Arabidopsis thaliana: one gene and its partner. The protein of the gene in region 2 interacts with the protein of the main gene of each other region in a pairwise test. Each region holds a gene or a part of one and is shown on either strand. Other genes may lie near its edges.

Region 1 (3,924 bases), 340 kb from region 2:
GATCGTACCTCCAAATTCACCCTGATCCAAATCAAACTTTTATTTAGTGAAAATGACATTACCAACGTCGAAATGAAAAGGTAAATTCCCAATCACATTTTCCACCTTGACTAGCTCTTGCACGTACAGTGCTCTCCAGAGTAGAATAGGTTTTGTCTCAGAAGTATCATTCTCAACAACGGAATCGCTTTGACGATTCTCGGGAACAGGCAAACTGATGAGATTACTCATGGCTGATAATAGCGCCTTTATCCCTTGGTCATCATTGTCGCACAAAGTTGAAAGATATAAAACATGCCTGCAGCAGCAAATATATATGGCTTAGAGAACAGTTAAAGCTAAGCAAATGGAAAGAAACAGAACTAAAATGGGAAAAGATCATCTTAGGCTAAACCACAACTTACATGTCAGCAGGACAAACCGCTAAACCACTACCAAGCTGCAGAACCCGAATTGCAGTTAGCTGTTCTGGAAACAAAGCTAAGAGGAAAAAACTATTAATGTTAGAACCTTCAAAACGCAAAAGACGATATACATGTAAGTGAAACAACTAACTAGTGGGTCTTCAAAAATTAGCTTACATTTAGGTGGATAAACGACAAGAGCGTTTGATACATTAGCTTTCACAGAACCTCTAATGACGCATACTCCTCTTGCAATTTTCTCCTTATTGATCATCGACTTTGGGACAAGAACACTGAGAGTTTCATTTTGCTGATCTGTCAATGACGACAGAGACTCTAATCCAACAGTAACACATGGATCCAGAATCAACTTTTGGCTGAATATCTCTTGACCAGAAGCTAATCTAACCCCTTTGTAACCCCCAGTTTCCTGCAAAAAGAGTTTAAAATAATCAAGTAAGAATCCTTTCCGTCAACTAAACTTATCTTATGCTACAACTGTCAGCTAACTTGCCTTGTCTAAAAGCAGAGCAGTAATAGGCATCCGGAGAACCTGTGAAAACAATGAAAGACTAAATAAGTAACAAATACCACAACAGCAACACAGTACACAATGCAGAAAATTGTTCCAAACGTACATAGATACATCCTTTGACAGCAGCCCGACGACAAAAGGCTTGTGGAAGTTCTCCTTGTCCATAAATTGGGTATATCAACGCCCCAAGTGCGTTAGAAAACCTAAGGTAGAGAATCAAAAGCTAAATTATACTCAATATAACCAATGATAATGTAAACCAATAAGAAAGATGATCACAAATGTGTAAGAGCCAGGAATGAGAAAATGATGAATGACCTGCCCATAGATGTGATGTATAGAGCCAATCGATCTATCCCCTCTTTGGTCTTGAGTAAATGTCTACAAGTTTCCGTATTGTCTTGATCATAATCTAGCATCGCAATGGCATACAAGATGATCCTACACAGAAGAAGAGGAAACAAAGCCTTACCTATCAACATTTCAGAGACAAAATTCTAAGAAGCATTAAGCAGAGACAAATGTCCAAAGAGCTGCCATTAACAGAGAAGGAGGTTATACGATTTGATTTTGGGTGGTAAACGCATCTTTGACAAGAAGTCCACAAATGGACTCTCCATATCTTCCTCCGATATCTTGACTGTTGTTGAATCATCTTTTTCGGTAGAAGAAGCCAAGTGACTTTGAACAAGCTTGAAGAATTTCATGAGCTGATTCTTCTCCAACAGAGTCAAGCTCTTGTCCTTGAATATAGCAGCTCTCGAATCCGGCACATTTCGTAGCTCACCGCTCGAATCCCCAACGAAGCTGGCATCGATGCTCTTGAACTCAACGTAGTTGTTAGCTCCTGATTTCAGCATGAGATTAATTGATTCATCGGCACAGAAGACAACCCTAGGACCAGCCAAGTCAACGTTGAATCTTCTAGAGTGTTCTTCGAGGATCTCCGATTCGAAGCTCGAAATCTCCACGGAGGAATACAAGGATCGGTTAACGAGATCCACGGAGATAAAATCATGGTTGTTTGACGGAGGGAGAGGAGGAGATGACGGCGACGGAGGAGGAGAAACGGAGTTTGAGTGAAGGAAAGAAGTGAGATCGGGAAGGGAAAGAGAGGCGAAGTGAGAGCCGTAGAAGGGGTTAGGGTCGAGGTGGAGAACAGAACTACCGGAGGAGGAAGCAGCGGCGGCTAAGACGGACTCAGAGACTCCGGTGCCGACGACAATGAGATCGTAGTTGGAAGGATCAAGCGGCGGGTAAGGAGGGATGTCGATCATGGTGGCTCGAACAGATTTGTGTATCAAAAGTCGAACCAACGTGACTTCAGTAGCTTGATCGATACACGAGCGTTGAATAATCTGGGAAGATGTTGAGATGAGTGAGGAGAATCGAGGAAGAGGTTCAAGAGAAGAAGAAGTTTCTTCTTACATTACATATACAAACGTAATGGGCCTAAGATGTAAATGAATAAAAGAGGTAAGTGTGAATCGGCCCAACATGGCCCATCTTCTTAATCAACGCATAGACTATAGGGTCTACTGTTTTTCTTATGTTAGAAACTTAAAATATGATTTTTTTTTTTATATAAACGGTTTAATTGAAGAAAATAGAGTTTATACTTTCTTCGTTCACTTTACTGGTCAGTGGTCCACTTATAATGTGATTTTTTGAACTATTTTCTTTGTTGAATATAAAAGAATTTTATATATCTTGAAAAAAAAAAGTGTTAGATAAAGATTGCGAAGATTTCTTTTGTTTGTTGTGATTATGAAAATCTTCTAACCACTTTTAACTAATAATAGAGATATACCACATTCTTCTGGATAAAAGCAGATTTAACTAACTAAATAAAAGAAATCGAAAAACGAATTCACGACGACTATTAAATCTCCGAAACCCCATAGTCCTAGTAAAAACACACACACGATGGAGAAGAAGATTAGTGATATGGATGTGTTTGTTTGCAGAGGAATATGGTATATAATGACTCTACTCTCACTTTTTGGCCTCTCCAAATCACTCAATCTTCTCTGGCCACCTGGAGATTCATCGTCTCAGTCCTTTAGGGACGGTGCGGTCAGTGTCACAACATTCTACGCAGTGACGCTACTCAGATATCTTTTTTTCACCGCTCCTCCTTCCGCTTGCTACAAGGAGTTTACTACAAAGTTGGAGAGAGTACCTCAGGTTTTGTTTTCGACATTTTCCGCAAATTTAGCGTTGGCATTGCCCTTAATATATGAGCTATTGACAAACAAAGAGTTTGAATTGTCCATGTCGTTATTCACCATCTCGTTGTTCACCGGAGGGTTAGGGCTGATTCAGCTATCGGATAAGTTTAGGATGGAGATCGGACATGCTTTGTACACGCTCTTCCTCGGTTGGTTATCTTGTCTCTTTAGCATGTCTAACAATCTATACCGGGGTGACTATAAGGTACTGTTATTGTTTTTAATATCAGTACCTCATTTTTTGCTTTCCTTTGGGCCCGCGTATAATTTCTCCAAATGGGAAGACTCGGACACTTTCTCTGCCTACCGAGCAATAGAGGACAAGCTTGACACACATGCTATGACTACACTTTCTATCTAAGTATATCAATGTTTCCTTACATTAAAGTAATGGCTTTTGCAAGTCCATCATATTTTACTTTGATGTAAGATTAATCTGGATTTTATAGCTATACAATTACTCATATGGATTTCCTTTAACTTGTAATAGACAATAATAAGTCTTAACATCATCGTGAACAGAAACACAAATAAACAAGAAAGAACACCTTATTCATAAATAAATATACAGAAAGATGACATTACAGCAACATTGTATGCATCTACCTCTGATTTCTATCTTCGTATATCTACCATATCGCGTAGTTCAACTCCTATGAATTCATTCGAATAGTCCACTCTGGTCCGGTTCAGAAGTGCTTCACACCTGTTTGTTTCCAGTGAAATAATAAAACGTGAGATGGTTCAATCGAAT
Region 2 (3,754 bases):
ATTATTCTTGTGCACAATCTCTCTCACAGAATACCACGTTACCAAAACTCAACAACACTACTGCAGCAACAGCAACCAGCACTTGCTCTTCTGTTAGATGAGGTTAAATCTCTTGGTATCCCTTGGGTCCTCGCCATAACAAACAAGTTCTCAGTCAGTGCCCATCAGCAGAAATCCGCTATCGAAGCTGTACTTCAGGCATACCAAGCGTCTCCAAACACAACCGGAATTGTCAACTCTATCCCTTATATTATTTCTGGCTCTGGAACTTCCTCATTGCCTTGGGCAGCTGTGAATGCGGGAAATGACGGATCAGTAGGCGTACCGAAGATGATATTCGCTCCACTCGACCTTGTCAAAAAGCCGTTTCAGAGAAAAGACACTGTTTTTCCAGTGGATGGTGTGAATTCTCTTTGCGAGCTTGTCCATCGTGTCCTTCAAACTCAAGAAGAAGCTTGCTTTGAGGTATTATTACTCTCTTACCTGATTCAGTGCTTAATGAAAATAATGATATTGATGTCGTTGTAATGCCCAAGTCACTTCAATTTTATATCTCTCCATTAAACTTTCAGGAACTTGCTAGAGACAGACTGCTGGTGGAACTAGCCAAAGACCGTGTCGTAGATGGTTCACAGGCCAAGTCATCATCAATGTCAGCAGCAGCTGTAGGTGCTTCACTTGGAGCTGGTCTTGGCCTTGTCTTGGCAGTAGTAATGGGTGCTGGTTCCGCTTTACGAAAACCCTGATTGTACTTGATCAACCATTCCATCTGTTAATGTTATATATTTTTCTATGTACATAACTCCCACTAAAGTTCATGTTTTCGCCATTTTCTCTATTCGGTCAGGTCATTTTTGTTTAATCCCTCGGCCAGAACCAATGTGTAGTATCAAGACAAAACAGATTGCAAGTATCTTATTATAAGTCTGACTTCATAAATGATAATTATAACCTTATAAAGCTTTCTCTGGTAAAAACAAGATTGATTGAAATCATCGGGAGCAACAAGACGGATTCCGCCAAGAGCTCTCGGAGCCATCTTGGTTGTTGACAAGGCTGACCCGGTTAACGGAAAGCTCTGCTTTGTAAGCATCAGAGTTGAGAAGTTTGCGGCTGACATTGTTGAAGATCTCTCTGATAACGATCTCAAAGGCTTTGTCTACATTTGTGGCGTCCAGAGCCGATGTTTCCATAAAGAACAATCCTTCTTCCTCCGCAAGAGCTTTCCCTTCCTCCACACTCACCGCTCTTATATCCTCCAAATCGCATTTATTCCCAACTAGCATTTGTGCCACTGCCGTGTCACAATGAGCTTGCGAGGTAACAAAACAAAGTGTTAGGGATTTGTCTTGAATTCACAAACAAATAATCTTAAACTTGAGGAACAAAACAGAGTATCTTCTCAGCTCAGTGAAACCAATCACCTCTCACTGCCTCAAGCTAAAAATAGAATCAATGAAGAATGACCCAGATTCATAGCAGCAGAATCCACTAATGGTGATCAATTCTAAGTGTTTGGATTCACAAACTCCAAAAGATTGTTCCAAAACAGAGAGAGAATAAGAGCACCTTAGTCATTTATAGAATCCATCAATGGTGCTCAACGACATCAACAGATTTCCTCAGAGAAAAGAGTGAGAAGGGAAGAAGACTTACTGTTGAGTTCCTGGAGCCAACGTTTAACGCTTTCGAAAGTGTCACCTCGAGTGATGTCATAAACGATGAGAGCACCAAAAGCACCTCTGTAATAAGCAGAAGTGACAGCTCTAAACCTCTCTTGACCAGCAGTGTCCCAGATCTGAGCTTTCACTTCTTTCCCTTCGATTTCAACCAGCTGCGTCTGAAATTCCACTCCGATTGTCGCTTTTGAGTTCGTGTCGAACTCATCCCGCGAAAATCGAGACAGCAAGTTCGATTTTCCGACAGCGGAATCGCCGATTAGGACAATCTTGAACAGGTACTCTTCTCCTCGGTCATCTTCCTTACCCATCTTCTTCTACTTCTTCGAGACTGTGGAGAATTTTTTGCAAGCTTTGAAGAAGCTTTGATAAGTGGTAAAGTGGTGACAGACAAGCTGCGTGATTGGCGGGGTTTCCTATAGACAAACTCATTAAATTCTTAATTAATTACGTTTAAAGATTTTGATTAGTGCCAAAGTTTAGGCTTTTTTAATTTTGCTAAAATTCGAAAACACCTAATCCTCTTAAAATTTGCTAGATAACATTTAATTTTCTGAAAATAAGTTTCTATTAAATGAAGAAAAAAATATACATTTCTCAACTACATTTCCATAGTTTCCTCATATTTATTTCAACCACCATATTCAAAATTCAAACTATATTTCAAAAGCTTACAAAAACCTTTATCAAAAAAGAAAGAAAGAAAGAGTCAAAAACTGCTACCAGCCAGTTTTATACATCTGACTACACAAAATTGACTAGTGAGGGAATCACACAGAAATTGTGTGGCTGGATAACTATTTTTGAATCAACTATAGAACATCAAATCTAGTCGCAGTGAGTACAATTTTGAGTAGATATGTTATCAATACAAATATACTAAAACTTGGTATAGGATTATGAACAATTTGGTATAGGGGTTCCTTATTATTTCACACCCAAGTATGGTTACAGAGAATACACAACAATGTAACTTCAAGTTTGTACATAAATAGCTTGAGGCTGCTTTAATTGTTTGCTTTGCCCCAACTTCTTGGGAAAGGAATGGCATCTTTGATATCAGGAAGCCCGGTCGCATACAGAAGCATTTGTTCCATGCTTAGGCTTATTCCTGAATGTTTCACTGTCCCATGCCTCCTTAAATCTAAGTACCACTCGAACTTCTCCCTCGTGAATCCGGATTCCCCGATCCTCGCATCCAGAATCTCAAACCGTTCTTCGTTTTGGCTCCCGGTGATCACAACACCAACCTGTAAAAAACGTGAAGACTTTTGACCCTGCAACGTCCTAATTTTTGATAAAAGTGTTGTTTGGTTCAGTTCTTACCTTTGGTACGACCAGATCAAACGCTGCTACAGTCTTCTTATCATCATTCAACCTTACGTAAAACTGTTTAATTGCTTTCGGGTAGGTATGTACAATTACAGGACCTTTGTAGATCTCATCAGTCAGATAACTGCAACATTGAACGATACACAGAGAATTTAAATCGGATCTTGAAACAAAGACTCAATTGGCAAAAACAATACCTTAGATGCTCTGTTGTTAAAGCAACTCCCCACTCAGGCTTGGTTTCAAATTTTGTAGTGGTTGCCTGTTTTAGAGAATCAGATCATTATGGTATAGCAACACACCAGCATATAGGAACTGTATGGGATTTGAGAGTGATTTACCTTTTGCAGAAGACTAATCACTTCGGTATAGGAGAATCTCAAAAGGGAGCTGGATGCTGTTGCTTCGAGACGTGTGGTGATGGTCTTGTCAACTCGTTTTGATATGAATTTCATGTCTTCATCGCGATTTTCCAGAACATATTTGCAGAGGAACTTGAAGTATTCATCAGCACAATCCATAGCATCCTGTAACAGTCAAACGAAACAAGTTACCATTTGTTAAATATCATTGAATAGCATCTACCGAAAATCAGTGTTATAAGAATCTTACATCCAATTCCGCGAAAGCCATTTCGGTTTCCACATTCCACTTCTCTGCCAAATGCCTTGCATTGTCAATTTTATCAGCTATGAATCTTGGTCCAAAGGTATAAACTTTTCCAAGTGCAGAAGCATAGCTCT

Evidence for each region.
Region 1: the proteins of RABA5b (region 2) and REP interact in a two-hybrid assay, tested with the Arabidopsis thaliana proteins (one large-scale study listed by BioGRID).

What each region holds. Positions count from the first base shown.
Region 1 is NC_003074.8:2,035,447-2,039,370, forward strand, and holds the start of REP (Rab escort protein), read right to left. Parts: upstream 2,346-3,924; 5' UTR 2,217-2,345; coding exon 1,501-2,216; intron 1,381-1,500; coding exon 1,258-1,380; intron 1,143-1,257; coding exon 1,043-1,142; intron 958-1,042; coding exon 919-957; intron 835-918; coding exon 582-834; intron 481-581; coding exon 405-480; intron 299-404; coding exon 106-298; intron 22-105; coding exon 1-21. Other genes in the region: AT3G06545 (uncharacterized protein), read left to right, coding at 2,866-3,364, 3,455-3,531. UniProt on the Arabidopsis thaliana protein: Substrate-binding subunit of the Rab geranylgeranyltransferase (GGTase) complex. Binds unprenylated Rab proteins and presents the substrate peptide to the catalytic component composed of the alpha subunit RGTA and the beta subunit RGTB.
Region 2 is NC_003074.8:2,371,493-2,375,246, forward strand, and holds RABA5b (RAB GTPase homolog A5B), read right to left. Parts: upstream 2,065-3,754; 5' UTR 1,991-2,064; coding exon 1,657-1,990; intron 1,313-1,656; coding exon 993-1,312; 3' UTR 825-992; downstream 1-824. Other genes in the region: AT3G07400 (lipase class 3 family protein), read left to right, coding at 1-465, 573-746; NS2 (asparaginyl-tRNA synthetase 2), read right to left, coding at 2,687-2,929, 3,006-3,135, 3,209-3,273, 3,353-3,538, 3,624-3,754. UniProt on the Arabidopsis thaliana protein: Intracellular vesicle trafficking and protein transport.